Linked DNA regions of Arabidopsis thaliana. The protein of the gene in region 4 purifies or fractionates together with the protein of the main gene of each other region. This does not show direct contact. Each region holds a gene or a part of one and is shown on either strand. Other genes may lie near its edges. The genes, in order: PHB4, HAP6, PHB5 and ATPQ.

Evidence for each region.
Region 1: the proteins of ATPQ (region 4) and PHB4 fractionate together in Arabidopsis thaliana (co-fractionation; one large-scale study listed by BioGRID). This does not show direct contact.
Region 2: the proteins of ATPQ (region 4) and HAP6 fractionate together in Arabidopsis thaliana (co-fractionation; one large-scale study listed by BioGRID). This does not show direct contact.
Region 3: the proteins of ATPQ (region 4) and PHB5 fractionate together in Arabidopsis thaliana (co-fractionation; one large-scale study listed by BioGRID). This does not show direct contact.

What each region holds. Positions count from the first base shown.
Region 1 is NC_003074.8:10,073,272-10,080,188, forward strand, and holds PHB4 (prohibitin 4), read left to right. Parts: upstream 1-3,537; 5' UTR 3,538-3,632; coding exon 3,633-3,944; intron 3,945-4,252; coding exon 4,253-4,780; 3' UTR 4,781-4,792; exon of another isoform or gene 4,793-4,992; 3' UTR 4,993-5,337; downstream 5,338-6,917. Other genes in the region: AT3G27270 (TRAM, LAG1 and CLN8 (TLC) lipid-sensing domain containing protein), read left to right, coding at 44-789, 2,363-2,435; AT3G27290 (RNI-like superfamily protein), read right to left, coding at 6,767-6,917. UniProt on the Arabidopsis thaliana protein: Prohibitin probably acts as a holdase/unfoldase for the stabilization of newly synthesized mitochondrial proteins.
Region 2 is NC_003075.7:11,275,649-11,286,305, reverse strand, and holds HAP6 (ribophorin II (RPN2) family protein), read right to left. Parts: upstream 7,878-10,657; 5' UTR 7,768-7,877; intron 7,676-7,767; exon of another isoform or gene 7,663-7,675; 5' UTR 7,661-7,662; coding exon 7,515-7,660; intron 7,380-7,514; coding exon 7,187-7,379; intron 7,108-7,186; coding exon 7,018-7,107; intron 6,778-7,017; coding exon 6,715-6,777; intron 6,507-6,714; coding exon 6,437-6,506; intron 6,287-6,436; coding exon 6,222-6,286; intron 5,886-6,221; coding exon 5,831-5,885; intron 5,708-5,830; coding exon 5,586-5,707; intron 5,503-5,585; coding exon 5,387-5,502; intron 5,003-5,386; coding exon 4,933-5,002; intron 4,685-4,932; coding exon 4,580-4,684; intron 4,479-4,579; coding exon 4,389-4,478; intron 4,307-4,388; coding exon 4,158-4,306; intron 3,975-4,157; coding exon 3,863-3,974; intron 3,781-3,862; coding exon 3,697-3,780; intron 3,575-3,696; coding exon 3,494-3,574; intron 3,406-3,493; coding exon 3,181-3,405; intron 3,097-3,180; coding exon 2,974-3,096; and 4 more. Other genes in the region: ZAC (Calcium-dependent ARF-type GTPase activating protein family), read right to left, coding at 1-55, 146-241, 359-481, 613-763, 847-1,010, 1,176-1,251, 1,406-1,487, 1,573-1,612; AT4G21140 (copper ion-binding protein), read left to right, coding at 8,084-8,815; EMB2271 (Transducin/WD40 repeat-like superfamily protein), read right to left, coding at 10,020-10,097, 10,178-10,243, 10,330-10,657.
Region 3 is NC_003076.8:4,608,558-4,614,727, reverse strand, and holds PHB5 (prohibitin 5), read right to left. Parts: upstream 1,627-6,170; coding exon 1,339-1,626; intron 1,167-1,338; coding exon 705-1,166; downstream 1-704. Other genes in the region: AT5G14290 (Mitochondrial ribosomal protein L37), read left to right, coding at 2,118-2,516; AT5G14285 (DNA-binding storekeeper), read right to left, coding at 3,284-4,048; AT5G14280 (DNA-binding storekeeper-like protein), read right to left, coding at 4,482-4,862, 4,998-5,297, 5,381-5,605.
Region 4 is NC_003074.8:19,392,532-19,400,012, forward strand, and holds ATPQ (ATP synthase D chain), read left to right. Parts: upstream 1-3,892; 5' UTR 3,893-4,157; coding exon 4,158-4,328; intron 4,329-4,750; coding exon 4,751-4,832; intron 4,833-5,120; coding exon 5,121-5,185; coding exon of another isoform or gene 5,186-5,189; intron 5,190-5,288; coding exon 5,289-5,375; intron 5,376-5,486; coding exon 5,487-5,588; 3' UTR 5,589-5,913; downstream 5,914-7,481. Other genes in the region: IQD3 (IQ-domain 3), read left to right, coding at 1,910-1,978, 2,102-2,398, 2,500-2,715, 2,866-2,985, 3,075-3,665. UniProt on the Arabidopsis thaliana protein: Mitochondrial membrane ATP synthase (F(1)F(0) ATP synthase or Complex V) produces ATP from ADP in the presence of a proton gradient across the membrane which is generated by electron transport complexes of the respiratory chain.

The DNA.
Region 1 (6,917 bases), 9.3 Mb from region 4:
TGTATCGACGACTTCAAAAGCTTCAAGTTATTCTTTATCAGTAATGGAACCAATTACTTATTCCAAAGATCTTCCATTATTCTTCTCAATCTTCATCTTCGTTTATCTTCTCGGTTACTTATTCATTTTCAAAAAATGGACTCCGGAGACTCGTCCTTTAGCTTCCAGCTGTTTAATCTCCCTCCTCCACGGCGTCTCCGCCGTCGTCCTCGCCACGAACGCCTTACTCTCCGATCCTAACCGTGGATTCTCCTCCGTCAACACCCAATCTCAAAACTCAATTCTCGATTTCAGCTCCGCTTATTTCCTCGCTGATCTCGTCCACCTTGCCGTGTTTCCTTCTCCCGCCGGCGGAGACTCGCTTTTCGCCGCTCATCACCTCGCCGTGCTTTTCGTTTTCCTCACCTGCCGTTACATGGTTGCTCACGGCGCCTGCGCTCTGCTCGCGCTGCTAGTCGTCGCGGAGGCCACGAGCGCGTGTCAGAACACGTGGACGCTCGCGGATGCGCGTGGGAAAGACGCGCCTCTAGCGGTGAGTTTGCACCGGTTCGTTACGGTGCCGTTTTACGCGTCCTATAGCGTCTGCAGGTGCGTTCTAGCGCCGTTGCTTATCGTTAAGATGACGTGGTTTTACGTCAGCGGAGGCGCTGATGACGTCATACCCAGATGGGTTTGGGTTTCGTGGACCGTTGTTATTGTTACTGCCGTTACCGTTAGTATCCTTTGGATTTGGAATTTGTGGGTACTGTTTTTTCAGGAAAGATATTCCAAATTTACCAAAAAGGTTAGGTAAAAATATATTTACAGTTTCCATATTCGAGATTTTGTTATCTAATTTGAGCGTAAATTAATATCTCCGAATAAATTATGTTCATGGATTTGGTTGCATATATATAAAAATTGTCCGGGACAAATTTTTAAAAAAATTATATCTTAGATTCCAAAATAAAGTCTCAAAATAATTAACATATAGTCAATCAAAGTTTTTATATGCTATTAGAGTTGTTTAATAGTAAAAAAACAAAAAAACTTTGGTTGACTCTGTCAAGAATAAAATGAGATTTGTTCTCTAATTTTAGCGTAAAATAATAAATCTGAATTAATCATATCCCATTATCTCTGGACTTGGAGCTATATGATCAGTACTATCATTGAATTTAGACACAAATTGGTTATAAGGGTGTTCGTTTAATATAGTTTGGTATTCGGTTTTTACAAAATAAATTTGAAAATCCGAGACAAATTGGATATTCAAAATAATTGACAGATCGTAAGGTTTATTTTTATTGAAGATAGAATACTTTTAATTATTATTGTGAGTCGGTCTTAGGTTGTTGAGACGAAAGTTAATTATAAGAATGTTTGTCACAACCCATTACTAAGTCTAAAGCATAGAAAACTTGGGATGACTAAACTTGGGGTGACTTGTACAATATCAAAAATCGAGATCATTGCCTCGGACAATAATAAATTCCACAAAAGTACGAGTGACTAGTGTCCACGAGACTAGTGGTTGAAAATTAGGACTTGAATTCATTCCCTCTAGAAGTTTATACAAATTTCAGACCAACTTTTTAATTAACACTTTTTTTCATTTATTTTTTCTTGAGCAAAATAAGAGAGGAAGTAAGATAGATTAAAATTTAAACAACCACAAGATAAACATGCTTTAAGATTCTAGTTAAGAGATGGATAATTGAACGAATCCAAACCAATTGGAGGGGAATGGTCTGTTAGATTTCACATGTTAGAGGTTCCTCCATGAAGTCTAGAGTTAGACTCTTTCGAAATCTCACAAAATGTAGCTTGAAGGATGAGTTTGACATCAACAATCTGTTGGTCCAATAGTAAATCTCCCAGATGGAGGTGTTGAGTTCAAAGCATGTTGGGAGGGATTTTTTCTCCTAAAAAGATGAATTTAACTTGGTGTAGGTCTCGCCAGGCTGACCTCGCCCATATTTACAAATTACAATATCATCAAAACCCGAAGGAGTAAACAAAGAGTGGTGATTAAAGAATGAAGTGTCATTTTAAATAGCTCCCACTTGTTTTTCTCTCGATCTCAATCTGACAGAAACTGATATATTCCACTGATCTTCATCGATTCATCAAAGTTTTAGATTTTAATTCAGATTTCATCTTAAGGGAGGGTATTACGAGTATAGGAATGTGATTATCATATTAATGAAAGTTGAGGTTTTAAAAATAGCTTAACCAAACAAATGTAATCTTGCCAAAAAGATATAAAATGAGTCCATCAACAAAATTTATCGGAGTTACAAGATCATCAGATTCCGAAAAGCTTTTCTGTTTATGCGAGCGGTAATAGTGTTTTTTGATGTCTCCGTCGATTTCTTTGAAGGTGGCCAAAGGCGAAACGGAGACACTATTGTGCAACAAGTTGTTCATTTGTTTCCAAACATGGTAAGCTGTAGCATGAGCAACTCCTACTAATTTCCAAAGAATTGTGGGAGCAGTCTCTGTTTTTAGCTTAGTCCAAGCCAGAATTGAAATCCAAGTAATAAAGATATAAGGCGATATCGTTAATCCTCTTCTGGTGTTTTCTGTATGTAAAACGGCGTCTTTCTTTTGATTCGAAACGGAGGAGTTTGTGAAGGGTAACAAGACGGAATGGTTCTTTATATCTGGGAGGACCAAGATGGGGAAATGTGGAAAAAGAATGAATCGTAGAGACAATGGAGGATACTGGAGGGTAGTATCATCTCTGCCAAGAAGATTCATGCTGGAGAAGCAGGCCTTGTCGGCTACAAATACTCACTAGAGTACTACATTGGAAAACAACCAAAATGGCGTAAAAGAGGGTTGGTTGATGCATGAACACTGGCTTAAGTCTTCTGATGATATTAATAACTACGAGCTGGTAAGAGTATATATGTACGTTTACTTACTTGGTTTCCAAGTTATTGAGACTCTTGAGTTTTGGTTTTTATTGTGACGACTTCTGTTGTTTTGTTTGAGTAGGGCAATTATGCTATGTGCAAGATCTATCTGAGTCCACACGCAGCAAAGAAGAAGAAAACACACGATGAAGAGATCGACGATTTAGTTCAATTTGTGGAAGCAGCCTTAGATGTTTCTTTTTATCTACTTTTGCTGTCCAAAGTCAGAGGTCTCATTGTCTTTATATAGAATTTCTTGTATATAACATTTTCCACTGGTTGTATAGAAAAATCAATTTTAGTCTTTTGTGCTTATTCACTCTAATCAAAATCTCTAATCAAGGTGAAGGAGGAGGTGGAGGAAGAACATTTTCATCTTGCTCTCTAAGAAGATCCAAAATCTCTGCAGGGTTGTTATCAACACGCTCTTCGTCTCTGTCTTCCTCTCCGGATTTAGTTTCGTTTATGGGCAAATAATCAAATTCGGGTTTAATCTTCCAAACCGTTGTTTCCTTTTATATTACATCATTTCCTTTTCCTTTTTTATTATTGGGCCGAAGTAGTTTATATTATTAATGGGCTTTAAACAAGCCCATATTCAATAATTGTCGGCCAAAAAAAACCCTCTCTTCCAAGTTCCAAAATCATTTCATAAACCCTAACAAACCCCTAAATCTTTCCTTTCTCAATTCTCTCCTTCGAAGCTTTTTTCTTGTGAGGTCAGAAAAGAAAATGGGAAGTCAACAAGTAGCGATTTCGTTTCTGACGAACTTGGCGAAGGCGGCGTTTGGGTTAGGTGTGGCGGCGACGGCACTAAACTCGTCGCTCTACACTGTTGATGGTGGCGAGAGAGCTGTTTTGTTCGATCGATTCAGGGGAGTGTTGGATCAGACCGTCGGCGAAGGGACTCATTTCTTGATCCCGTATCTCCAGACGCCGCACATATACGATATTCGTACGAAACCTCACACTTTCTCCTCCAAATCTGGTACTAAGGATCTTCAGATGGTTAATCTCACCCTTCGTGTTCTCTTTCGCCCTGAGGTAATTTCGATTTTAGCAACAATCAATTTCTCGATTCTGTGTTTGATTTTGTATACATTGGTTGTTTACAAGATCGAGGGTTTAGGATGATCGTGTTCGTTCGATTTAGCAATCATTTATCGATTCTGTGTTTGATTTCGTGGAATTTGAAGTTTGTGTACAAGATCTAGAGTTGAAGATAATCCTTATGTGTAATTTGGTTTCTTCGATGAATGTTACTCTTATTATAGAAGCTTTTGGTGCATATCTATGCTGGCTTCGATTGTTTGAGGGATTGAATAAGTTGTTGTGGTTATTTTACTGTGAAGGTTTCGCGTCTCCCGTACATTTTCCAAACATTGGGTCTTGAATACGATGAGAAGGTTCTTCCATCGATTGGAAATGAGGTCTTGAAAGCTGTGGTTGCTAATTTCAATGCTGATCAGCTCCTCACTGAGCGTCCTCAAGTATCAGCACTTGTTCGTGATGCTCTTATCAAGCGTGCCAGGGAATTTAACATTGAGCTCGACGACATAGCCATTACTCACTTATCGTACGGTGCTGAGTTCTCGAGGGCAGTGGAGGCGAAGCAAGTGGCTCAGCAGGAAGCTGAAAGGTCAAAGTTTGTGGTGATGAAGGCTGATCAAGAGAGGAGAGCTGCGGTTATAAGAGCAGAAGGTGAGAGTGAAGCTGCTCAGTTGATATCAGATGCAACAGCTAAAGCAGGAATGGGACTAATTGAGCTTAGGAGGATTGAAGCTTCAAGGGAGGTTGCGGCTACTCTGGCTAGGTCTCCGAACGTGGCTTACTTACCTGGTGGACAAAGCATGCTCTTTAATCTGAACCCTGGTCGTTGAGCTATAACATTGGTATGCTCTTTTACTTCTTTGAATAATGAATGAAAAATGGATTTGGACTTAAGATTCCCATTTAAAGGCATTAAGGTTATTCGGTTTGGTTGAACTAAGAGTGGTTATGGTTTGGTATAAACTGTTTGGTTTGATAGTAGAGTATGGTTTAGGTTTGTGGAATGGTGTGGTTTACTTGTTTGGCCTTGTTGTATTTGCAGGTGGGAAGAGGAGCTTCAGTGGAGACAAAACGACGGAGCTGTGAAGTTTATTAACGTTGATGCTCTTTTATTTCTGATGAACACGATGTGAAAAAAGATAATTGTTTTGAGCCGTTCTATCTTTTCTGACTCTAGAAGTAAAGACTATGCCATTGTTGTCGAAACCCGATCATTCCAATGAAAGGCTTCACCAAAAAATCTACCATAACAATAGTCGAAATTTGTATTGTCAAAAACAATTTCCAACACCAAGGTTGTTGTACTTGTATTATTTAAAATATAAATTAAAACATGGTAAATAAATTAAATAAAACTTTTTTATGTGGTCACTTTGGTGGCTTCGGTACATGCGGTGGCCTCTTGTGGTGGGGTAGACAAACTCTAAGTATAGTGCATTCACAAACTTTAACTTTTCCCTTCAAATTACAATTTGCTCCACCATAACCTTCGTTGTTACAACTCGTTCGGCACCTCCTAGCACCGTCTACCTTATTACACGTCTCTGGCGGTGCTTTGCTTGGATAATCATCACACAATTCCCAATTCATTGCTTTTCCTAATACAATAATTCGATCAATTACAAGTATTTATATCGTATTGATTATATATGCATATTTTTGTTTTTTTTCAATGAAAATATATTTGGTAGAAGATTTAATATTATTTACGATTTTATCTCCTTGTAGTGATTTATTTTACAGCTAAATTACAATTTTGACAAATTTCCTTAATTTTTTTTTTAAATGAGTATAAGAAGTTCCATTTTTTCAATATTTGTATATCTTGTAATTTATAAACCAAAAGTTTAACCGCAAATAACACCTTTTTTTTTTGTTGCATTAAGCATCTATCATTATAAATCAAACTTTTAGACATTTTGTTTTTCCTTTTATAAGTTTTTATTTTTCTTTGTTAATAGAGTGTTTTATGAATAATAAATCTAAGTGTCATATTGCTATATATCAGGAATTATTATTTCTAAAAATAGAAGAAGAAATGAGAGATAATCCGTAAAAAATGCCTATGAAATTGTTTAATGAAAAGAAACATTCATTATTAATTTATATCATAATTCTCTTTTTTCATATAACTTTGATATGTTTCTTTATTAAAAATATGTTATTTAAACGTAATAATTACCTACATGATATTATGCATTATACACTGGATGTACAAACTGCGAATAAGTATTGGAATATGAGAGGTATTATTAAGTAAACTAGGTTTGGATGAAGTGACTAGTGAGGATGGTTGGGAGATCTTGCAATGAAAGTTTGTGATCATGGGCTCATGTTTCCAGGGAATGTACAAGCAGGAGTGGATTGATAAGAGATTGATCCATTTTGAAAATTATACAAGTCATTTAACAAAAGCTACATATGGAGGAGATTAAAAGACTAATTAATGATAATGTAAAATAACTCTGATATATTCTTTATTCTCTTCTCTTTTCTTGTAAGTTCTACTTATTTCCCATTTGAATCCTGGTGCTTCAACTTTCAAGTAAAGCTCTAGTCTTTGCTTCTCTTCATCTCTCATGATCAAGTTTGACTCGAGTCCGTTGCAGAATCAAGTTTAGCTCAGATCTTTCATGATGCTGTAGATGAAGACTAAACACCCTTCTGAGTCTTATCATGTTTCCATTTTTTGTTGCAGCTCTTCTTATTGACTTAGGTTTGATACCTCAAGCACCAAGACTCTTCATTCTTCAGAAAACAGTGTATTGAGGATCAAAGTAATGTGTTAAGCTTCGGTTTTGACTTCAAATAAACTATTATAAGCGGTTAGACCTCTTCTCAATGCATACCACACAGCTGAATGCAAAACAGAACGGCTTGTTTTCACAGTCATTTAAGCAACTCCCACACTCATGGCAACGTTCTATGCAGACAACGCAAGCTCTGCAAGATGACTTAGAATAAGGA
Region 2 (10,657 bases), on a different chromosome or scaffold from region 4:
TCTCAGCTTCTCCCATTATGTCATCAGCAGAAAATGTGTCATAGTCAAACACTTGCTGCAAAAACATAAAATGTAAGGGAAAAACTTCTGTAATGATTCATCAAGAGTAGAAAGTGATTTTGGAAATATTAGACCAAGCTTTTACCAATTTCACTGAGCCATAGTTATGAGGAACAGAGAGCATGAGTTCCTCATTCCAGACAGGGTTTAAGTTGCTCTTCACTACAGTAGATTGAGCCTTCTGGTAAAACGATGATAACGATCAGAAAAAGAGATGACAATAATGATCACTTAAACAATGGTAAGAACATATAAAGAGAAAACCTTTCAAGATTTCAAAAGTATTCACTATAATTACCTGTTGTCCTAGAGTCAACACAACATAGGGATCACTTGACATCATATCTCGGATGGCCATATTGGTACCCTTTTTAATAGTCACCTTCAACAATCCAATAAACTCAACCATGCCTTCAAGTTGCTGTCATTGTTTAAATTTAAAACACCATGAATCAGAGGACTTAGCAGTATCCAAGTTCAAAGAGTTTGCTCTACTTGCTTGATTCTAACAGTTAGATGGTAAAAAAAAGATGAAAAATAAAGAAGCTTTACCGGCTGTTGCGATGATGAATTAGTGCGAAAGCTATCAACAATCTTTTTAGATAGACTCGATGAAAGAAATGCTGGAGTCTTTGTACTAGAGCCCCTCACGGATGTGATCCGCAAGCTTGGTTTCAGAAACTCTTGGTGCTCATATTTCGACCTGAAACAAAGATTTGAGATGAATATTTCACCAAACTATTAATGAAGGTATATACACTATCTTATCGGGTTTTTGTAACCTACCTAATGAACCTCATACGCTGGTCATGACTAGCATCAGGTCCAGGCTTAGAGCTACCTTCAGGAATAAACGCCTCGTAAATTGAATTTGCAGAGGCATTTCCTCCAATTTCAATCATCGAATCGACTTCTTCATCTGACCATTCATCCAATGTCACGGATAAGACCTGGAAAGTTGAAAACTATAAATACACTTGCAAAAGATTCTGTAAGAAGAAGTGGAGCGAGATAACAAATCCACAATATTATTTGTAAGCCATCTTAATGGAATCCAATGGCAAATTTTCACCAAAGATAAACCAAAACTAGAAAGAGAAGCAAAGAGTCACAACCTTTGAGATATGACTGCCAAGGCTTCTGTGGACACCACAACATTTTAAGCATATAAACACTCCAATATTAGCTGACCTGTAATAAGCAACCAAGAGTTTTATGGGTTTACGAAAAACGAAACAAACCAAAAAATGCACAAGTAGGGAAACAAGATCATAACATTCAATCAAACTGCTTAGAGAAGCATAAAATGCTTACTGGAACAAAACATAAAAATGGCAAAACTTACGCCCACTTAGGATCTGGAGCGCCACAATCAGCGCAGACTCGGTTATCAGATTGAGTTAAAAGATCCCTTATTCTCCTTTTACCTGTGAACCAACAAGGTGGATAAATCAGTCACAGCCTATATATCTCTCATACAAAGACTAATCTTTGCTAAGATAAATGGTTTACCTGAGCCAGGCTTTCCGAGTCCGGCTCCAGAATAACTCATTGCTCTTCTAAAGAACTAGCAATCATCAAACAGAGAATCCTTCACAGACCAAAGAAATCACCCATCACGCACAATATGGTTAGAACATGGTATTGTTAAATGAGAGATCAAACTCTGCTTTGCAAATTTAAAAACCAAACTTTTTTGGGGAAACCACGACCGCAGAATAACCATGAACAAATCGTTTTCAATACCCATTTGTAGATCATCAGCATCATCGATTCGTGTTCCCAAAATCGAAATTCAAATTTAGAAGAGAAAAAAAGGCCAAAAATCTGATCTTTGTTAATTCCTGAAACCATTTCAACGACGAAAACATAACCGACAGGAAAAGACTTACAAAGAAATATTCAAACTCGATGAAACATAAAACCGATGAAGAAGAGATCAGAAAGGAACAAGTAATATGTACGGAAATTCCATCAAGGAGATTTATAGATTGGATTGGACGTTCTTACCAAGGTGAGGAGAGAGAGAGAGAGAGATATGTTCTTGGGACACAAATTCAAGATGAACAAATAATTGTCTGAAAAGACAACTACGTGCTTTTTCTTCTAAAATTTAATTTTCCAATCAACTGTAAAGTTTTGTGAAGTTGTAACGATGCAAGAAAAAAAAAAAAAAAAAAAAGTTGTAACGTTGCCATTGCCATGTTAAGGGTCAAATACCAAATACATTTCCTTCGTTGACTCGTTTCTACCCAAAGTAATTTCTACATTTTTATCAGCATTTATTTCTATTTTGACTAGAATGAAATTCGGTTTGATTTTATATATAAAATTTCATTTCGATTTTATGGCCAGCCTATTTCAAAATTTTGTTAGACCTTTTAACTTTCCACAAACACTCATAAAGTGTGAATAATTAAGAAACTCATGTGATCTAATCATGAGCTAATCATTATCTTAGTTGATTTGGTTCAACAAAAAAGCTAAGGAAAGAGACTCTTGATTACTTTTTAAGACTAAACTGAGAGAGTATGTAAACTCTGAACTTCTTTTGAATTTGTCTATCACCATAATCTATAAGCAATACTACAAAACTGAAAATACGCATAAACCAAAAAAAGATCCTTCATAGTGAGTTCTTCTTCTTCAAGCAGATTTCAACTTGTTTGATGCTGATGCAAGTTGAGATAGTGTTCTGTGTCCCACGAACAACAGAAACACTCCCAACAAAGAAAGTGCCTTGAGAGTCGTGAATAGATCCAACTGTAGAATGCAAACAAACAAAACAAAGAAATTGTGATTTGATGCAATGATTCAACTGTAGAATGCAAACAAACAAAACAAAGAAATTGTGATTTGATGCAATGATTCAACTGTAGATCAAACAAACAATAATCGGTTATGAAAACTTGCCTTCAACCAGAATAGCACATATAGAAGCAAAACAGCTCCAATTCCGCAGTGGAAAAGTAAAGCGGATATTGCAGATCCAGTCGACGATGGGAAGCTCTTTATGTTCACTCCCAACCGCGTAAGCTGAAACATAAAAAATATATATGAGTAGTGAAAGAAATGTGATGATGTTTTTCGGATACTATTTACAAGCAAAGGGAGACTGACCCCAATCAGGAAACCGATGAATGGGAGAACGATAACACCCAAGAAAACTAGTGAGAGCTGCTTTGCTGGAAGCTTTTCAGGAATCCTGAATATGTGTGATATTTCAGCTTTTGGCCCATATCTTGAGTAAGGCTCAGTAGACTGTAGAGGAGGACGAGTCGCCTTCTCTGGACGCTCTGGTAGGTCTAGTTCAATGTGACCAATATTACTCAGTAAAGAGTTCTCCTGGGAAAAGAGAAAGGAAAATAACACTGTTCAAATCTCAGAAGACATAAATCATCAACTGCATTGGACCTGAAAGTAAAGTACTTACCATAGAAGCATCTCCAATGGTTAGCTGTATCTCATATTTACCAGAGAGGTAGTAGAGCTTCTCAACCAATCCAAGAAAATCCTGAAGGTAAGAAAATAACATTAACCATTAATATTGTATTTAGGACGTCATTAATTTCACCAAACTTGATCATTAAACTTTTTTTGCAAAAGCAATTTTAAATGAAGTTGAAGGAACTTAACTAGAACTAATTCAGACTTCTTTCCAGAAGTTTTCACGAGAAAGATATGCTCGACCTGTGACTCATGTTTCAGCTTGAAAAATGCCTGCATGGAAGTAAGCAAGTCAAGAAAGTGAATAGAACAGAATATAACCATTGATGAAGCGAAAAATCAAGAATGAACAAACCTGGTGTGGCTTAAACGCATTGCCAAGTGGAGTAGTTAACTGGAATGACAGGCGTAGCTTTTGAAGGTGGTTTGCTGATAATGATACCGCTCCATCTTTAGTTAAATCTAGCCTACAAATGTTACAGAGAGAACCAATAAACAAAAAGAAGACACTAAGCACAACAACAAAAAGTTTGAAATATATATTGTAAGCAATAATGGTACAAGTTTCCTAAGAAAAATGGTTAAGCAATTAGCAATCAATCAAAATAAGCAAAAAAGGAAGTTGTTCATCAACAATACAGGTGACATACTTTTTCTGAGATTCAACGCTTCCAATGTCACTGTCAAGTACAGCAATTTCTGCATTTTCAATGCTAATAGCTCCTGTGGCAGCTATAGGCACTTTTGTTTGAGCTTCAGTTATGTATACTTTCTCATGTGCTGATTCATCCAGCACAATCTGCAGAAAACGAAGCTTATCATGTTGTCATCATACATTTATATGAAGTCTTGGGTGTAGTAAAACCAAAGAAGTGCAATACCTTAAATACAAAAGTATATTTTCCAATGTCAAAGTTCTTGGGAAAGGAGTCCAGGAAGTACGTTGCACTGTCAGCGTCAAACTTAAGCTCCTGTACCCCAAAAATGTAATGGAAAAATGTAAACCGGCCTAATGCAGAGAATAAGGAACATTTCTATTGCAAGCTCAAACAGTAAGAGATACATTATTTACCTGGTTATTAATTACAGATGAATCCACTGACTTAGAACTTAGAGCTTGTGTAAGCTTCACACTAAGAGCTGGTGCCTTCGAACCCAGTACAGTGCTAACTTTAACCTAGTTCCAGATAAAGAGAAAAAAAATCTAAAATAAGAAAAAATGTAATGGATGAAGGGTCAACTAAAATGAGTCATTATCAAATAGATAAGAGATCTCTACAAAAAAGATGCAATGCTATGAGCCTGAGCAATCTCTAAACCAAATACCAGCTAGAATCCAACATCCAACCGTTATAGCCAGAAAGTCCAAAGTTAAGACTTTCACTACTAGAAGTCAAATCTTGATGCAAGCTTATGAATGGGTACCTTCAGAGGCTCTTTCTTTGTCAATGAAATGACAGTGGATGGAAGAGACAAGATGAGTGGAACAGAAAACCTGAAATGATAGAGAATGACCATAGAGCAAATTATTGTTCCCATAGAATGATAAAGTTTCAGCTAGACCATAATAAATGAGCAAGTGGTTGAAATTTCACAAGTGTTCAAAGTTTTAAACTTCTACTCTTTCCCTACAGATATCATTTCTTCGGTAATCATTTTGTTCAAAATTCTAACAATGTAAAGAGAAACAGTTTTTCTCTTTCATAAGCAACTTTACTTTAACACAAAAGAATGGAAGTAACAGTAAGTCCTTGTAACTCTTATGTCTTTCACACCACTCAATTCAAGGTTACTGAAATGATTCTAAGATGTGTACTGAAATAAACTAATAAGAAAATGCACAAAGAAAATGCACAAAGGGGCATGAAAGTAGTATTACTTGTTGTCTTCCAAACAAGCTAGTGCATCTATTTGGTTGAAGAAGTCCTTGGCATCACCAGGAATTCCAACACCCAGAAAGAATTTGGCCAGACCAACTATCTTATCACCTGGAAGCTGCATGAGATAATGGGAATGCGAAGGTCAACTATCAACACATTTGTCAGAATAGGATACATGAAAACATGGGTATTACATACGTTCAATCCTGTGGATTCTGAAGCTGCAAATGACGTGAGCCCTCTAATAACTGATGCAGTTGTTGAGATCGGGCCTTGACTTGCATCAACAGACTTCTCATCAAAATAAAATGTCCCATCATCTAAAAGACCAAAAATAATAATTCAAAGCCCACATATGCAAAACCCAAGCTGGCAAAAACTATGAAGTGAGTGAAGAGAATATAACATGCAATACATAGGATAGCAAGTAATTTACTGCATACCATATTTTTGGATACTGTCAGAAAGCTTCAGGATACCCGTCTTCACCGACTGGATCTAACAGAGGACAAACATGAATGACGATCATTACATAACCAAGATTAATAAACTACCAGATAAAATGAAAAAGAAACCACCAGAATAACCAAATGAGAAGTCAGGTGGACATGCATAATTATCAAAACACGAATCTTTCTTTGTGATTATCAAATCACAATTCCCTGTAGCTAAGATTTGGAATTTATAATTATCAAAACAAAACTCTTTATTTTAGTTACTTAGAGATTCCAGAAGCAAAAGTAGATCATCACTAAACCAACATATCGTAGTGATATCTCATCAAAATATATTCTCAGGAAATCAGAAGTATAGTGGATTAAACATCTCACTTACCAAAGATGGATCAAACTCTGAAGGTGCTAATGAAATCACTCCAGCAAGCGTTTCATAGGCTAAGCCTGAGAAAAAAAATCGCATGTTGAGAAGAATGAGTGAAATAACAAAGAGCAAAAGAAGTGAACAAGCTGAAGCAAGAAAGGAAGGGATACATAATCTAAAAGGCTCATCATTAACGTTAGGTAAGGGTTAATCCAATATGTACTACTAACCAGCAGCAAAAGTGCTTGATTCGGGATTGTTGGAGCTGTAGCGCCATCTTCCATCACTCTGGCTAAGAGACTGATACAAATGCACTATATCAGCCAAATAATACCCGGAAAACAATCTAAGTAGTATTAATATAGTAACTGAGTTTTGGTAACATATCGAAAATATATATATACTTCTACCAGAGTCTATAATTGATAGTCCAAAAAGACAGTGTATGAATGTCACATCTGATAGTTCAACAACAACAAAATTGAAGGTCAGCTAAACAAGTTCAAACCTTGATGGAACGGAAAATGGCTTCGGCATCTCCAAGACTTATATGAGTTCCAGGAAATTGCTCCTGCATTCATGGAACAGTGAGGTCAAACTTGAAGCCAGGAAAAAGAAAAGTCAGGAAGCCAAAGCTATGGAGTTGAATAAAATAAAATAATCACGATCACAGGTACCTTCTGCCAAAACATTTTCATACTTCAACATAATGCACGAAAAACTAAGAAAACTCTCCTAGAAATACTCTATGGAAAAAGGGTGTAGTCAATCTCACTCAAGATGTCCACCAAAAGTTTTAACTCGTATTTACCTTAGCCAGCACCAAGCCTCTGACAGAATAATAGAAATCAAGCAATAGCTTCGCATCTTTAACACCAGCTTGAAGTTGAGAAACAATGTCCTTCAAAAGAGGAAAAGATAAGGTTATTTTAGCCGCTTAATAGTTAAAATTATGATACTGAGAGGAGACAATTGTTTACCTTAGGACCAGCTTCACCAATTTTACATTTTAGAATCCCATTAACGTTTAACGCATAAAATGCATCCTTAAGAGTAGAAGAAGACGACTGAAGAACTTTAACCACATTCTCACAAGTCTTTGAGCTAAGATCAGACTTTTTATCAATTCCAAGAATCTCCAAAGTCTTTAATGCTTCATATGCCTCCTCCAAGCTGATAGTAATAAAAATCAGATTAGTCCGTACAAAAACCATTCATGAACATTAACGAGCAACCAATATGTAATCGGTGAAATGTGGTTAAAACCCCTACATCAAAGCAATGCCGACTTAAGATAGAGAAACCAACCTTTTGTATGATCCATCGACTGGTACGAAGACATCCAGAGCCGCAGATCGGTGAGAGTCTGAGATCGGCTGGAAAACAGAAGCAGCACCGCAAATTGCTACGGCGAGTATCAAAACCAGAAACCGTACGTTACCTCCGGCCATCATCACTGCATAAGAAAACTCAAAAAAACAGATAAACTCATCCAAATCAATACAATTACACATCTACGACGGATGGATTCCAAAATCAACCGAAGATTTAAGCTTCTTACAGATCGGAAGTAGATCCGTATAGTCGAAGAAGCGGATCAGAGGTCGACGAGTCTCAGTAGTCAACGGAGACTGAGGTTTGAGGTAAGCCTAGGATCGATCTATAGCTTTTGAACCAGACGACGAACCAGAGAGAAGGCTAAAAAATGAGTGTGAGTTTGATGACACTACCTGATATTACCGATTTACCCTCGATTTGAACTTAAATTACACTTCATGAAACGACGGCGTACCTTGAAACCCTAAACCTTGCAGATCAACTTCAATCACCATTTTCATTTCAAACAGAGAGAGCTCTGAGGAAATCAGAATCTGAAAATGATCAGATTCGCGAGACCAAAACCTATAATTGACTCAGTGAGTTACAATCTTCTCCAGAAATGTTACGCTAGTGGAACCCCCAAAGGAAAATCGAAGCTGAAGACAGGCCAATCATTGAAACGCAACAAACTCACAATCAAAAAAGGCGGTGGAAACGGCGGTGGCAGAGGTGGTGATGAGGTGGATAAGGGAAAAGGAAGAATCTCAGATCAATGCATAAACGCTCCTTGTCCTGTTCGTTACCTGAGACCTAAGGAAAGAGAGCGAGAAGCGAGACGAGAGAAGCTAGGGCTAATCAGTAAAGCGAGGCAAAAAGAGATTGATTTTCAGAAGAAAGGTGGATCCTTTACGATGGGAGTTACTACTGCGCCGATGAGGATTGGGACTCCAGGATTGGATTACATTTCGTTAGGGATTTTTACGGAAGATGAGTTACCAAAGTATAAGGTTACAGTGGAGGATGGGATTAGACTTGCGAAAGAGTATAGTAGAGTGCTTATGAGAGAGCATAGAGCGAGACGTGTAGCGGAGATTAGTTTGATGAAGATGAGGAACGCTGCGGTTGAGGCATTGCCGGAGAATTTGAAGAAGGCGGCTTTAGTGCGTGATTTGACTCCGTTTCCGGTGAGTCGAGGTACGGCTACGCTTACTCCACCTATTGAAGGGTATTTGGAGAGGATTATGAATGCTGCGGCTAGGAAGAGCTCTGGTAAAGAGAAGTTGAGATGATCTTGTTAAGGTTAGAGGAATTTGTCTTTGCGTCATTGGTTTTCTCTTGTTTTATTAGTTGTGTTGATTGGATTTCGATCAATGGATATAACTTTGAGACATTTGTCTTTATTTTTGTGATCTACTTGAAATAAAATGGTCACTGGCAGTTGCTACTATATGATAGAATATTAGTTGAAGCTTGAAAGTTTAATCTTTTTCTACTTTATATTGTTTCATATCGGCCTTCTGAGAGGTGAAGTTGTCTAGGATGTAAATGGAATCTTGTTAAACCTCTTTTGTATCTCTTTCCTTGATCGTGTTTGCCTGTTTGCATACTTCTTTCAAATCTTCATTTTTCAGTATTATGTGTATGAACACTGTACACTCATACATTTAGGATTTGTCTCTTCATATATTCTAACCTTTAGGAAGGCCACTGGGTCATGATCAGCTCAAACTTGGTATAACTTTTTATCCTTACCAAAACCATATTCCTAGATAAGAACTGCAGACTATCTTGGAATCTACAGTTCTGCACCAAGATTACAACTGTTTAATCAATATGGGAGTTGAGGTTTGTCCTCTGTGAGCTTTGTGTTGGAAGTTCAGCAGAATGTTATGTAGGAAAGGATGTCCTGCATCTGCTTGTGCTTCTTCATTCAAATGCATAGTTTCTGGGTATTTTCTTCAAGCTCTCCATATCATTTTCTGCATCTTGTTACCCGGTCCAGTAGAGTGCAATGGCAAGAGTCCTAAAGCTACAAAGACCACGATTCTCCAAGGATCATCATAGTTTGAAAGCTGAGGTAGCTAGTCTAGAGAGAATCGTAGTCATTAGACTTCATCTAGGGACCTCTTGGCTTCTATGTTTCCTTAGTTCACTAGCTATTTTTGTAGACCTATTGAGTCCAAATCTCTGGTAAAATAATCAAGTTTGTGTATCTGAGTTCTTAAACCACAAATTTTTATCAATTCTAGTATTCTTTAGGATCTTTTGAATACCACTAAAACAAAGTTCCTCTATGCGTAAAGATCAGATTGTATATGTTGTTTGATCAATAAAACAAGACTTTTAAGCATAAAGCAGGAATGGGACTTTCCGATTTTGTTTAATTAGAGCCTCTATATGTTCTCTTTCTTCCCTTCCATGTCAAAAATATAGCTGTAGTACCTCTACATAACTGAAGTTCTAAAATAAGTTGCAATCTAAATTGAGATCCCTTCATGAAAGCCTTAAGGGATGTATTGCAACACCGTTCTGCGCAGATTTTAAGCAACCCCATCTTCCGAGCCGCGGTTCCTGCCATATACCCAAAGTTACAGTTAAGATTGGCATTCACAGAGACGAATATATATGTCTGGTTAAAGGAAAATGTGTACCTGTCCAACACCAGCGATCAGAAACCGACCAGATTTTGCAAAAGCTAAAGAGTTCACAAACCCAGGCTGCAAAAAGGTCATAAGCATTGGATGTCAGTAACAGATGCAACACACAAATAGCAATAAGAGCCGACCTAGGAAAACAAACTTACAAGTGGAAGCTCGTATAAAGGTTGTATAGCACTAGATCCACTTTCAACACCCCATAAACGCACACAACCATTACCAGCTCCCGATGCAGCAAGCTCGCTACCTCTACAGACAGCAACTGAACTGACCCAAGAACATGCTGGTGTACAGTTATGGTTAACAGAATCATGATCAGCTATCACGTGGTGAGCATTGTTAACGATAAACACTGGTTTCTTTTTCAAAATGGACCAAAGTGCAATACTTCCATTATCTGATCCGGACAAAAACTCATCACTATTAACAAAACAGCAGCACTCAAAATTTGATTCGGAAGCTCGATAGATCAAC
Region 3 (6,170 bases), on a different chromosome or scaffold from region 4:
AAGAAACTTTCTCCATACAACGATAAAATGAAAATAAAAACCTTGAAAAATTCAAAACTTTGGTCGCTCATGGTGAACTTGACCTTAAAATTAAAAACCAAAGACTTTACAAAGAAATGTAGAAGACACTGCTCGAATTTGTAGAATATTAATTAAATTGTCACTAATGGCCGTATGTTTTCAAAAAAGGTTAACGACACTAATTTGCAATATTTGAATCGGTCGATAAGGCCCATAAGATAATATAGATGGGCCCAAGTTTCTTTCGAGGTGACACTTGTGACTTGTGATCCGATGAATAGCTTGTTTTTTTTTCTTTCTAAGATAACCTAATTTGCATTTTGTTTGTTGATATCTAATCGAAAGCTGCTGGATAATCAGCTCCCATTTTCCCTAGTGAGGAAGTATGTGCCATAGCTACCAAGGGCACTGATCCAGGTTAGATCAACCTTTGAACTTGGACTACTTAATTATCTCTAGGTCTATGCATAAGTTTGATTGGCACAGTGATTGTTTAATTTGATGTCAATGTCGACTTAACAGTAGATGTGTCATGTGTCATGTGTGCGAGTCTCAGACTCGCAAGAACAGTCTCAACTGGAGTATACTAGGGTGATCCAATACTAGGAAACTATATAAAAAAATGAAAATCTTAAAACACACAAATCAATATAACCATTGAACACCATATTTTTGCAACTAATTCAAGCAACAACTTTGCTTGGACCGTTCATTGCAAACAACATATTCCCACCACTTGGCAAATAGACGACATTGGGAGAATTAGAGAGCGTAATCGCAACCTCTCTAGCCGCCTCGACCCTTCTGAGCTTGATCAACCCCATCCCAGCCCCTGCAGTCGCTTTCGATATAACCCGAGCCGCCTCGCTCTCTCCTTCTGCTCTAATCACAGCCGCTCGTCTCTCCTGATCAGCCTTTGCCACTACGAACTTGGACCGCTCAGCTTCTTGCTGTGCCACCTGCTTCCGCTCCACCGCAAGTGAGAACTCTTTACCGTATGAGAGACCAGTGATCGACACGTCATCGAGAACAATGTTGAACTCCTTAGCTCGCTTGATCAACGTTTCGCGTATAAGAGCTGAGACCTGTGGACGTTCTGTTAAGAGCTCGTCAGCGTTGAACTGAGCCACCACCGCTTTAACCACCTCGTCCCGATCGCTGGTAGGACCTTTTCACCATAGTCGAGACCTAAGTTTTGGTATATATACGAGAGGCGCGAAACCTAACACGAACCCACGGAAAACAGTTATATATTATTTTACATATATATCACAAAATCTTATTAGTGAAATTTTTTGGATATTCGCGGGAACTTACATCAGGGCGAAACATAACACGAAGTGTGAGGTTGACCATCTGAAGATCCTTAGTTCCAGAGTCGGTATTGATTTTGTAGGGTTTGGTCCGAATGTCGAAGATATACGGCTTTTGCACCCACGGAATCTTACGATGTGTCCCTTCTCCTACTGGTTCTTCTAGAATCCCTTCGAATCGGTGGAACATAACAGCTCTCTGGCCACCATCAACGGTGAACATTGTTGATCTCACAGCCGCTATGGCAGCTCCTAGACCTAGAGCTACCTTTGTGAACTTTGACCAAGGCATGATTGGCTTTGAATGTCTCCTGTATGGATTTTAGGTTTCTTTTTATGTTGTTTAGGGTTTCTTTTCTTGTCAGATAGGTGAGAAGTAGTTAGAGAACGCAGGAGATGAGGTTTTATAGGAAGTTTTTTTTTTTGCGTGAGGCAGAAGTTAAGGAGAAAGCTTATTATATTGGGCGGGTTCTTATTTAGCGGGTCGGTTTTCTCACGTTCTGTTACTCACTCGGTCAACCATACCTGCCACGTGTTACTTGTATGCATTACTATTGGTGGGCTTTTAGACGGGTCTTTTAATTTTCCGGTCCGTTACTTTTTAATAAGTTTTACCAGTTCCCGCGATGCACTCGCTACCTATCTCTATCTTGCGAGTTAAACCCTCACCCAAAAATCTTCGACAAAACTCGAATCTTGATCTAAATCCGAGAACGAACATTATAGGATTGTGTAGATTTATTTAGTTTTATTTTGTGAATTTGCAGGTATAAGGTTGTTGATATGAACCTTATTCGAATGTTTGGGGATTCCATTTCTAGATCCAAAGATGTAATGCGATTTGTGTGCCAAAGAACATTTGCTACAGCTGCTGGTAAAGCGAAGAAGGTTGGGAGGGGAGATGGAGGTAATGATGCACCAAAAGCATCGAACTTGAGCAAAGAGATCAAATCGAGTATGGTTGTTAGTGCTAATACTCTGAAAGATGGATTGGACCCTAAGATCTTGCCTAATTCAGATCACCCTGATTATTTATGGCATCTGCTTGATAAGCGACCGGCGCTTAGCGAACTTAGAAGGAAGAACGTTGAGACTCTTAGTTTTGATGATCTTAAACGTTTTGTGAAGCTGGATACCAGAGCTAGAATCAAGGAGAACCATTCTATCAAGGCCAAGAACTGAAATGAGATTCAACAATGACTTGTTGTATGTGTCCCTTATAATTCCCCTTGTTTGAGCAATCCCTTCATTTTCCTTATTATCTTTGGGATTATTTGATCTTAAAAGATTTTTCTCTAATTCCATGCTCTTCTCAGTAAATTGGTTAAATTTGTGTATTTTATGCTATTCATTGGCCAAATGGTATATCATTCAGCTTTCCACAACAGACTGCCTAACACCATGTCTCAGCTTGGATGGTATGTTTAGTCCCCAATTCTCTTCCTATCCTCTTCAACACATGAAAAGTTCACAATCCAATGATCGAAGATATGAATCTCTGTGTTTCGTAATTTCTTACACTTCCCCAGCTAACTTTTGATTCTTCCAAGTAAAAGAATATATGGCTTACCAGTTGCTGGTTTCAGGGGACTTGGTGTTGGCCGTAAACAAAGAGAGTTATAAAGCCAAATATAACTCACCAAGAATGGCACACTTCATAAAGAAAACGTTTCTCATCAATATCAAGAATCAAGATGTGAGCAACCAAGTGTAGCAGAGAGACAAGACATATGTGTATGGAAGAAACTCTTAAGAGAAGAACTTCTGAACAATACAGAGTTGAATTAAAAGTGCATTTTGCACATACTGCTTACCCAAAAGCAAATCTATTATTCCAAAACATACATCATTTAGAGGAATTCTAAAAGGTGAGAATAATAATGGTATATATATTATATATAGTACATGAAAAGGAAGATCAAACAATGATCTAGAGAAGAAAGAAGAAACTATCTAATTTTCTTGTCTACTCTGATTTTGTTAGCTTTCCTTTCACTAAACAATTCTATCCAGAGATTCCAAATCCAAAGTATACTAACAGTAATAGCAATTCCAACAACAATTGCCCAAGAAATCCACAACCAATTAGGTATCACACCATGAGCACCACCTCGAGCGTAAAACGCTACCATTTTCCCGAAAAACAAAGGTCCCAACACACCCCTAACGATACTGTAGAAGGCGTAAAACGGAGGAGACAAGAGATCGTACACTTTCACAGCTAATCGTGATTCCGGATCATTCTTCCTTGCTCCGGCGAGCGTCCACGCGTTCTGACACGCGCTTGTTACTTCAGCTAGAATCAGGAGGCCTAAGATGGCGCAAGCCCCGTGGAAGACGAGGAATCTGCAGGTTAGGAAGACGAATAGAGTGGCTACGTGATGGCCGATGAAGAGTACGTCGTTAGGGTTGAAGACGATGTAGTGGAAGAGATCGGTGAGGAAGTAAGCGACGCTGAAATCGAGGACGGTGTTTTGTGCGGCGGTGTTTGCGGAGGCGAAGGAGCGTTCGGAGGAGGAGAAAACTGCGCGTGTGGCGAGGAAAACCGCTGGAGATCCATGGAAGATTGAGATCAGGCAGCTTGAAGCTTCGGGACGGATTTGTGGTTTCCAATTGCGGAAGACGATGAAGTAAGCGATTAGGTAGATGGTTAAGAACATGGAGAAGAAGATAGGAAGGTCTGGAATTGAGATTTCTCCGATATTGATCGACATTGAGATCGGAATCTCAACCCAAGAGACAATGGAAGAAGAAGAAGAAGAAGAATAATCTACACAGAAGAAACTTAATCCCTTTTTATCGTCTGTCGTCTCGTTGAGTTTTAGCTTAAACGATAGACTGATAGACACATGTATCAAAATATCTATTTAATCATATATTATATTGACCAAAACAACTTTATAATATCATCTCTTTTTATGATGAAGAAGGACACTGAGGTGTGATGGTAAAAATCAAAGTGAAATGGTACAAATACTTTCCCAAGTAGATCAATCACCAGAAGTTGTAGTAAAGCTAAAGACATAAACCACATTTATAGGTAAATGGTCTATGGCTAATAAGTAGTAAGAAGTAAGAAGTAAACTATATTTTTCAAGCCAATTCCGAAACGACAAACACCAAATGCTGAAATGGCGTTTCTTCATTTTATTTACCATCATTTGCTGCCTCTGCAAGCTTGGCGGAAAATCGAAGCTTGTTGATATTCAATTTTAGTTCCTCAACACATAGTGCTTTCCATTCATTGCTCAACTCTCTTCTTTTACCAGTTCCAAGGTTCATCAGCTTCTCAAGCTGCAACTTCTTTTGATAATCACTTAATCCTTGCGACATCATGGTGGTCTCAAACGCATCCCGCACAGCACACAACACATCATCATCATCATCATCACTCTCTTTTCCAGCAGTCCCGTTCTTCTTCGTAGTTATTTTGTCAACAACAACAACAGCTTCATGAGGTGACTTGCCACTTTTCGCAGCCCCTTTGTCAATTAAGGCCACTTCCTCATCCTCCTCAAACACCTCCTCCTGTGATTCAACAAACCATATAATTGAACAATATCCAAATCATTCTTAAACCACAATTCATTAAGCAAGTTTTATTGTAACAGATTTGACGATTGTGTATCAAAAACAAATGACAAACTCTTATTAGTCACTTACTCCACTCTCGCTTTGATGTGCTTTATCCATAACACCATTAGTGTATTCAGCATCAATTTTACGCCAAATCATCATGGAATATCCAAAAGCTTCAGTTTCACTAGACCTAGTAAAATGTGGATCATTTCCTTGATCGATTTTCTCCATTTGATCAAGGAACTTCTTCTTCAACTTCCTGGTCTTACTCATAAGCTGGCACTTGGAAACTTTCACATGAATGGAACCTTTGACGTAACAATAAAACGCATCCCAATCAATTTTGGATTCGAGTCCTGTTTTAGCTCGAAAATCCACCAATCCCTGAGAATTATAGATATGCCGTTTCAGGAATCGCAACGCAATCAAGTAAATGCAGTAGATAGATGAGACAAAGTAGGAAATACCTTTAAGATAGAGAGCTCGTCTTCTTCGTTCCAGATCCGGTTGCTCGGAGGAGAAGCCATTTTTGTGTTGTGCTTCGTCTTCTTCTTTTTCTTCTTCTTCGTTTCTTCTTCTGTTGCTGTTTCGGAAGCAGTACGTTTTGAAGTACGCTTCTGTGGAGGGTTATCGTCAGAGTCGTCACCACCACCACCAGGTGAAGAGAAACCTAGCTCCGTCGGAGTCGCCATTGTCAATTTGCTTACTTTTATACTTCACAATTCTAGCCTGATTGGCTGGCATGCAGAGAAAAGCCTTAATCAGGATATCAATTACACTAAATCGACTAGCGATAACAACTTTTCATGAAATTCAAACTTACGCCAGAAAAAAAAAACAGACTCTTGAGAGAACAAAAATGTGGTTTCCAAGTTTCAGAGCGACTTCTTGAGTGAAGAAGAAGAGATTCCGAGTTTTCTTTTTATTTTTTCAGCGGTGTAAAAAATCCATTTCCATACAAAACGACGTCGTATTTGACATAAGGCTCTTTTTAAGTTATAAATTCTTTACTGATACAATATACTCAATTCGACAAGAAGCACGAAGATAACCCGTACCAACATCACACAACACAACGCAAAGGGAAAAAGACGATGACCCACTTCTCACGACCATTCCAAGCAAAACTTAACTCATGAATGACTACGTTCCCACTCTCAGTACCAATAAAATCCAATCCTCAGTCTGAACGGCCCTCTCTACTTGAAGCTCACAGTATATGTTTTTTTTTGGGATGGATTCTGGATTCAGAATTCA
Region 4 (7,481 bases):
TTTCCCCTCATCAATACTTGCTTCTTTTTTATACCCAAAACAAACAAACAAAAAATTGTTAAAAGGCTTCTTTCTGTTTTTTTCTTTTACTATTTGACTTTTACTTTCGTCAAAAAAATTAAAACTTTGGCAAAAAAAGAAAGGGGCATTCCGAGAATTGAACTCGGGACCTCTCGCACCCTAAGCGAGAATCATACCACTAGACCAAATGCCCTTTTGTTCAATTGTTTGGTTGACATAGTATATTTATCTTCGACATATTTTGGGACATAACCTAAACTAAAGTATGTTTAAGAATGTTCTTAGAACCAACTAAGTAACAAAAGAAAAATCCCCACAAATTTCCCACAGAATTCTTAAGAATAGAAACATAAATGGCAATGGTGGTGGACCTGATGGGTCAAGAGCCATGGAGGAGCTGGTGGACCACATGTCTATCTTATTGGATGAAAAACGACAAATCTTTGTACAAAGAGCGTTTTGAGAATTGAACCCCGGCCTCTCTCATTCAGAAAATTAATACAAATGCAAAACATATAATTTGTTTATCAACTGCTTATAGATTTCCCAAAAAGAAAGTAGAAGGTTCAACAATTTCATGTTACTAGCTACCATAAACATTAAAACTGGAAATTAAACTAGAAAAAAATGTTCATTTCATGGATATGAATTGCTTCTGTAGCCTAACTGGGTTTAGATATGTTTCTAGTTAGTCCTCCAATTAAACAGATCAATTCGATTAAATTTTAGAAACTCAAAACAGATGTCTGTCACATCATCCATCACAAGAACTTAAAAAAAAAAAACACATTTCTCATATGTCAATTTAATTAGTTTTTTTTTTCCAACCAAATTGGTTCATGTACTTGATTATGTATACACTATACACACTCATATAAATGGATAAGGTAGTTTTATAGTCCAACCACCGACAAAACGTGCATTCCACTTCTTCTTCTTCAATTGCCATGCCGTCGTCAATATCTCAAACTTGACTAATATAAACCAAAGAAGAAGAAGTATATAACAGAACCAAAAAATATAAAAATTCATGTTCGTTGTATTACCAAATTTAATTTACACTTAAATAAACCTACCAACCAATCACTCAAAACAAATACCAGTTCGTTACACAATGGACACTTGAAGTTGAAAGCAACCGAACAACAAAAGTTTTAAAAACTAATAAAAATTTAGGTGAATATAATAATAAGGCCAACTATGAAGAAAAGGTCTATTTTATACTTTTTATATAACCTTTTGTCACGGGCACTGTTTCATTCCCTTGGACCCCTTCTTCTTCAAGATCTGTTTCTTCCTTCTTTCTCTCTAACCAGATTTTGTTGTACCAGAGAGAGAGAGAGAGAGATCCCTTAATAATTCTTACACATTTATCTTTCTTGTCTGAATCCTAACAAAGACTTTAGTTTTGGTCGATCTTATAATTTTCTTTTTTTATTCTATGGATTTCTCTTCCGGGTTTCAATAATTGTCACTTCCGTAGTGTAAGTACGCGTGTATTGTATACTAGTCAGTTACACAAGTGTCCTTATGTGTTTCCTTGTCTTTAATTCATTTCTGAAACTGAATTTATTCTTCTCTCAGATTCTGCAAAGGTTTTGGTTTTTTCTCCGAGTTTTTTTGTCCTTCAAAAAAAACTTTGGTTGCTCTCTCTCTGTTCAAGAAGATCCGAGCTTGATTCCTAATCTGTGAGTTTTATGCATTCCATTTAAAGCTCTGATTTTGTATTCCTGTATCAATGTTTCCCCCTAATGTTATAGATTTTGGATAAAAGATTAAGTCTTGATGGATCTTATGATTAATTGTAACAATTTATATCATCCTTGGGTCATGAATTTACCTCTGTGGTTTTGCATTTGCAGATCATTTGAGAAGAAGAAACTAAGAAATGGGTAAGAGTTGGTTTTCAGCTGTGAAGAAAGCATTAAGCCCAGAACCAAAACAAAAGAAAGAGCAGGTCTTTATGCTAGATTATTCACATTTTTTGGTTATCTATATCCATAAAGAGAAATGCTTCTATATGTCTTTGATGTAATTGAAAAGCTGATACTGAAAATGGTATTGTTTTTGACTCCATTAGAAGCCACATAAGTCCAAGAAATGGTTTGGTAAATCCAAGAAGCTAGATGTTACTAATTCTGGTGCAGCATATTCTCCTCGTACTGTCAAAGACGCGAAACTAAAGGAGATTGAGGAGCAACAGAGCAGACATGCTTACTCTGTGGCTATTGCAACTGCTGCAGCTGCAGAGGCAGCCGTTGCAGCTGCTCAAGCTGCTGCTGAAGTTGTTCGTCTCTCTGCATTATCACGGTTCCCCGGGAAATCAATGGAAGAGATCGCCGCTATCAAGATTCAGACAGCATTTAGAGGATATATGGTAACGTTTTTGTTTTTTAACATTTTCAAGTCTAGTAACTATAAAGGTGGTTTTGCTAACTAATGGAACAAAGTTCATACTTTTTGGTTACCCTTTATTAGGCAAGAAGAGCATTGCGTGCGTTGAGAGGTCTTGTGAGGCTAAAATCTTTAGTCCAGGGGAAATGTGTGAGACGTCAAGCCACATCTACATTGCAAAGCATGCAAACACTAGCTAGAGTACAATATCAGATTCGTGAGAGAAGGCTCCGATTGTCTGAGGATAAACAGGCTTTAACACGACAGCTCCAACAAAAACACAATAAAGACTTTGATAAGGTAAGCAAATCAAATCCTTACAAAGATGTTTATAATTTTAGTTACAAACTTGGCTTTTTGTTGATCTCGGATACATGAGAAATTCACAATGTGAAATAGATTATGTTTCTTGCTACAAACTTAAAGATTGTATTACGTTTTGTGAAATAGACTGGAGAAAATTGGAATGATAGTACATTGTCGCGGGAGAAAGTTGAAGCAAACATGTTGAACAAGCAAGTAGCAACAATGAGAAGAGAAAAAGCGCTTGCATATGCATTCAGTCACCAGGTATTAAACTAGTTTCCTATCTTACTTTAGTGTGTCTTTACACCAGAAGAATTATATATCTCAAAATGGTGAAACTTGTTAATATGCAGAATACATGGAAAAACTCAACTAAAATGGGTTCTCAAACATTCATGGACCCTAACAATCCGCATTGGGGTTGGAGTTGGCTAGAACGTTGGATGGCTGCTCGACCAAACGAAAACCACTCACTCACACCAGATAATGCTGAAAAAGACTCTTCTGCTAGGAGTGTAGCAAGCCGTGCCATGTCTGAGATGATTCCACGAGGCAAAAACCTTTCACCAAGAGGAAAGACACCAAACAGTCGAAGAGGGTCAAGCCCGAGAGTGAGGCAAGTCCCAAGTGAAGACTCAAACAGCATTGTGAGTTTCCAATCAGAACAACCTTGCAATCGTAGGCATAGCACTTGTGGATCAATTCCATCAACTAGAGACGATGAAAGCTTCACCAGTAGTTTCTCTCAGTCAGTTCCAGGCTACATGGCACCTACACAAGCCGCCAAAGCAAGAGCTCGATTCTCAAACCTTAGTCCTCTAAGCTCAGAGAAGACAGCGAAAAAACGGCTTTCCTTCTCGGGATCTCCTAAGACTGTAAGACGGTTTTCAGGTCCACCAAAGCTGGAAAGCAATGTTACTAAGAAAGATACTAATCTTGCTTAAACAGAGAATGGATATATATATATAGTTTATATCTGACATTGTTGATTAGGCAAAAGTCTGGTGCAGAGGTGAATTCAGAGAAGATTCTGTTATGTCTTTGTTTGTTTTTTTGGTATTTTTTTTTACTACAACAAACTTAATTATTTGTTTGACTTTTTTAATTGGTTGAACATATTTGTATTGATGAAGAGACATATATAATTTTCCACATGCTATCTGAGTTCCTTCTTTAACATATTTGCTAACGCCAAAGTAATCTAAAACATAGAACCAGTATTGAAACTTAATGGGGGTGTTTTTTAGGTCAATTAAATAATAAAGGGGTTAAATTAGAAATAAAGAGAAGTAAAAGGGCCTGTAAGCCTTTTAGGGATTCTAGGGCTTTCCTTCATTGGTCAGATCAGACGACGTTTTACATCTTCTTCTTCTTCCTCTTCGATATTCGTCAGTGTGTGTATTTTGGGGAAAACTTTGTGAGCAAAGAGCGAGAAAATGAGCGGAGCCGGTAAGAAAATCGCGGATGTGGCTTTCAAAGCTTCAAGGACTATCGATTGGGATGGTATGGCTAAGGTCCTTGTCACAGATGAGGCTCGTAGAGAGTTCTCTAACCTTCGTCGTGCTTTCGATGAGGTTAACACACAGCTCCAGACCAAATTTAGTCAGGTTCTCCTCTCGATTTCCCCCCTCTCTTGATCTGATTTTGTCACTACTGCTTGGTTTAGACTTTTTAGATCTTTATAATTTCGATTTCTGGATCAGGTGCTTCTTTCACGAATTTTTACGATTATCAGATTTTTGTTGGTGACACTCATTTTTTTCTATTTTGTTGATGTTGTTGTTCCCATTGTTGATTGATCCAGATATGTGTTAAGATCTATTTCCTTAAGACGTGTTAATCAGAGAACATTGTGGTTGGTCTTTGTTTATTGATCATTAGAAATGTGGAATTGTATCGAGAAAAACATTGATGTATACTATGATTAGCCCACTACATTTCCAATTCCTAAGAGATCTTTTATTTCCTAACTTGTTTTATGTATTGGGTTGTGGAGTGATTGTTGTTTTTGGTTATCCTTTTAATCCAGGAACCTGAACCTATAGATTGGGATTACTATAGGAAGGGTATTGGAGCTGGCATTGTTGACAAGTACAAGGAAGCTTATGACAGTAAGTTTTATTTTCTCTGCAATTTATACTGATACTTGGGAGCGTTTGTGTAGCCTTGCAACTCATTATCACAATGAGTTTGTCAGTGGTTATCAAGCGGATGTCTTTTGCTTGCCTTACTTCGGCTCTCAAACCTGACTATATTGTTTTGAGAGAGATGTGCTTAAGAATGGGGGCTGAAACTGAAGTTCTTATACTTGTTATATATCTATTTGATTGTTGGAATTGTGGAGATATATCAAAGAAGATTATGAGAAACTAAACTGCATCTTTTATGGCTTGCTGCAGGCATTGAGATTCCAAAGTACGTTGACAAAGTTACTCCTGAATACAAGCCAAAGTTTGATGCTTTGGTGAGTAATAGCTGAGACACTCGAGACTTTTTTACAATTTTGACAGGTCTTTTCAATTGACATCGTTTTTGTTCTCTTGTGCCATGTTTCATGCTATATCTAGTTGGTGGAACTGAAAGAAGCAGAACAGAAATCGCTCAAGGAGTCTGAACGGTTGGAGAAAGAAATTGCTGATGTCCAAGAGATCAGCGTAAGTAGCCAGAAAAAACAAATCCTCTTCTATGAAGTTTGTGTGTATTTTTTTTCAACTCAAGATTCTGATAAAATGATCATGGTTGTTTCTATGTGTTGGTGTAATCAGAAAAAGCTCAGCACCATGACTGCAGATGAGTACTTTGAGAAGCACCCGGAACTCAAAAAGAAGTTTGATGACGAAATCCGTAATGACAACTGGGGATACTGATCATGTTTCTCCATCTCCGGCTTGGAAAGAAAACTCTCTTTCTCTTTCTCTGTTCTCTTACTGTGATTTTGTGAGCCAATCATAACAATAATAAGTACACCATTCACTTAAGCAGTGTTGAGATCTTCATTCCAAGGAAGATAAACGCATTTGGTTTTAGTTATCAATTTCACAAATTGTTTCGTTTCGTTCTTCAGTGAATAATAAGAGTCAAAAAAATTATCATTGTCAAGGAATGAAGAAGACTCTTGACTCGTCATTGTTACATTTCCTCTCTTAGCTAACAGGATAGTATTAATGTCATGTTTTTAGTTGATTTTTTTGAGTTAGCAATTCGGTGCAATGGTAAATAAAGACGAACCCAAACCAACTCTGGTAAGCAAATTTGGTTGATAAGTCTGTCGGTTTGTTGTTAAGCCTTCGGTTTACCTCGAACCGGGTTTTAGAATTTTTGTCGACCCAGAAACACATATCCCAGATTTCGTTCTTCAAGACACAATGCTAATTTCTGCAATTACACTCAAGTGGTGAGCTTATTACTTGATGGAGCCTTGCGCAACCATAGATAGTTCACGAAATGGTATGCGGTTAATGGTTATCAAAGGTGGGTGAGGTCTTTGATTCTGACCGTTCATAGAGGGTTAATATAATCGATTGCTATTTTTGATTTTTGCCGTTAAGTCTCTCTGTAAGGTCCAGTGCATGTTACTGCTTGTCTAATTACACGAAACAAATACTGGTTAGCTATGTGCTTAGAGCAGAATGCTTAATAACAAGTAGAAAGACAAATCTTTATTGGTCTAAAAGAATCAAGATCCACGTGCTCTCCTCCTACCCTCTTCTTTGTACCGAAAGTCAGGTTTTGGCCTTTTGCTAATTATTGTATCAAATAAGATAGGGAGATAAGACCAATTTCCTCTTTTAAAGTTAAAACCTGTATCTGTAAAATGCATGAGCCAGATATTAGCCTCGTAGATCATGCTATCATGTCTATCACGTGTCCAAGGTCAAAGGGTTTAGCATGTCAATCAATCCAATTTTGGAGGGTATATTACAGTATATTCGTCTAACCCTACTCTATAAATAGGTGATGTGTGTGTCCAAGCTCCAAACAAAACAACACAACAAGGAGCTTCTCAAAACCTCAACACAAGGTAACTTTTAACCCTTTTAATGAGTCTAGTTCACTCAATTAATGGTTCAACAAAAAACAATTCTTTTGACCATTGATTCTGAAACGTACAGAAACAATATGGAAATGGGAACCTCATCATCATCATCAGGCTTGGTCAAGGCCAAATCTGAGACACTCGCAGAAGCTCTTAAGTCCAGTTCACTTGATTTCAGCAACGGTGATGGCAGCAGCCACGGGAGCAAGCAGCATGTGAGGGCTAGGACATTATCATCGCCGAGCTACAGTAGCAACAGCAAAAACAGATGGAACACTCACATAAGGAAGGCCAAGAGTGCTCATCCTGCTCTTGACCTTGCTGGTCTCACTGGTGGTGCTGCTCTTAGCCGAGCCTCTAGTGCTTCTCTTGGACTATCCTTCTCTTTCACTGGATTCACCGTGCCACACGAAGAGATAATTGCTTCAGAGCGCTGTAGCAATGACGATATTTGTAAGAAAACCATTAGATACCGCACATGATTGAAGCCTTGATGTTAACTTTGGACTTTATTGGGTTCTTCTTCTGGTATCATTCATATTGCAGTGGAAGATATTGAAGCAGCAACCAGTAGCGTGGTCAAGTTTCAGGCAGAACCAACCTTTCCGATATATCTGAAGGTAACCCATTTCCGCTGATAGATAATCTTATGGGAAACATGGGAAAATGATCTTTATATCTATTTGAGCGCAGGCACTGTCTGATGGAGATATGTAATTAAACC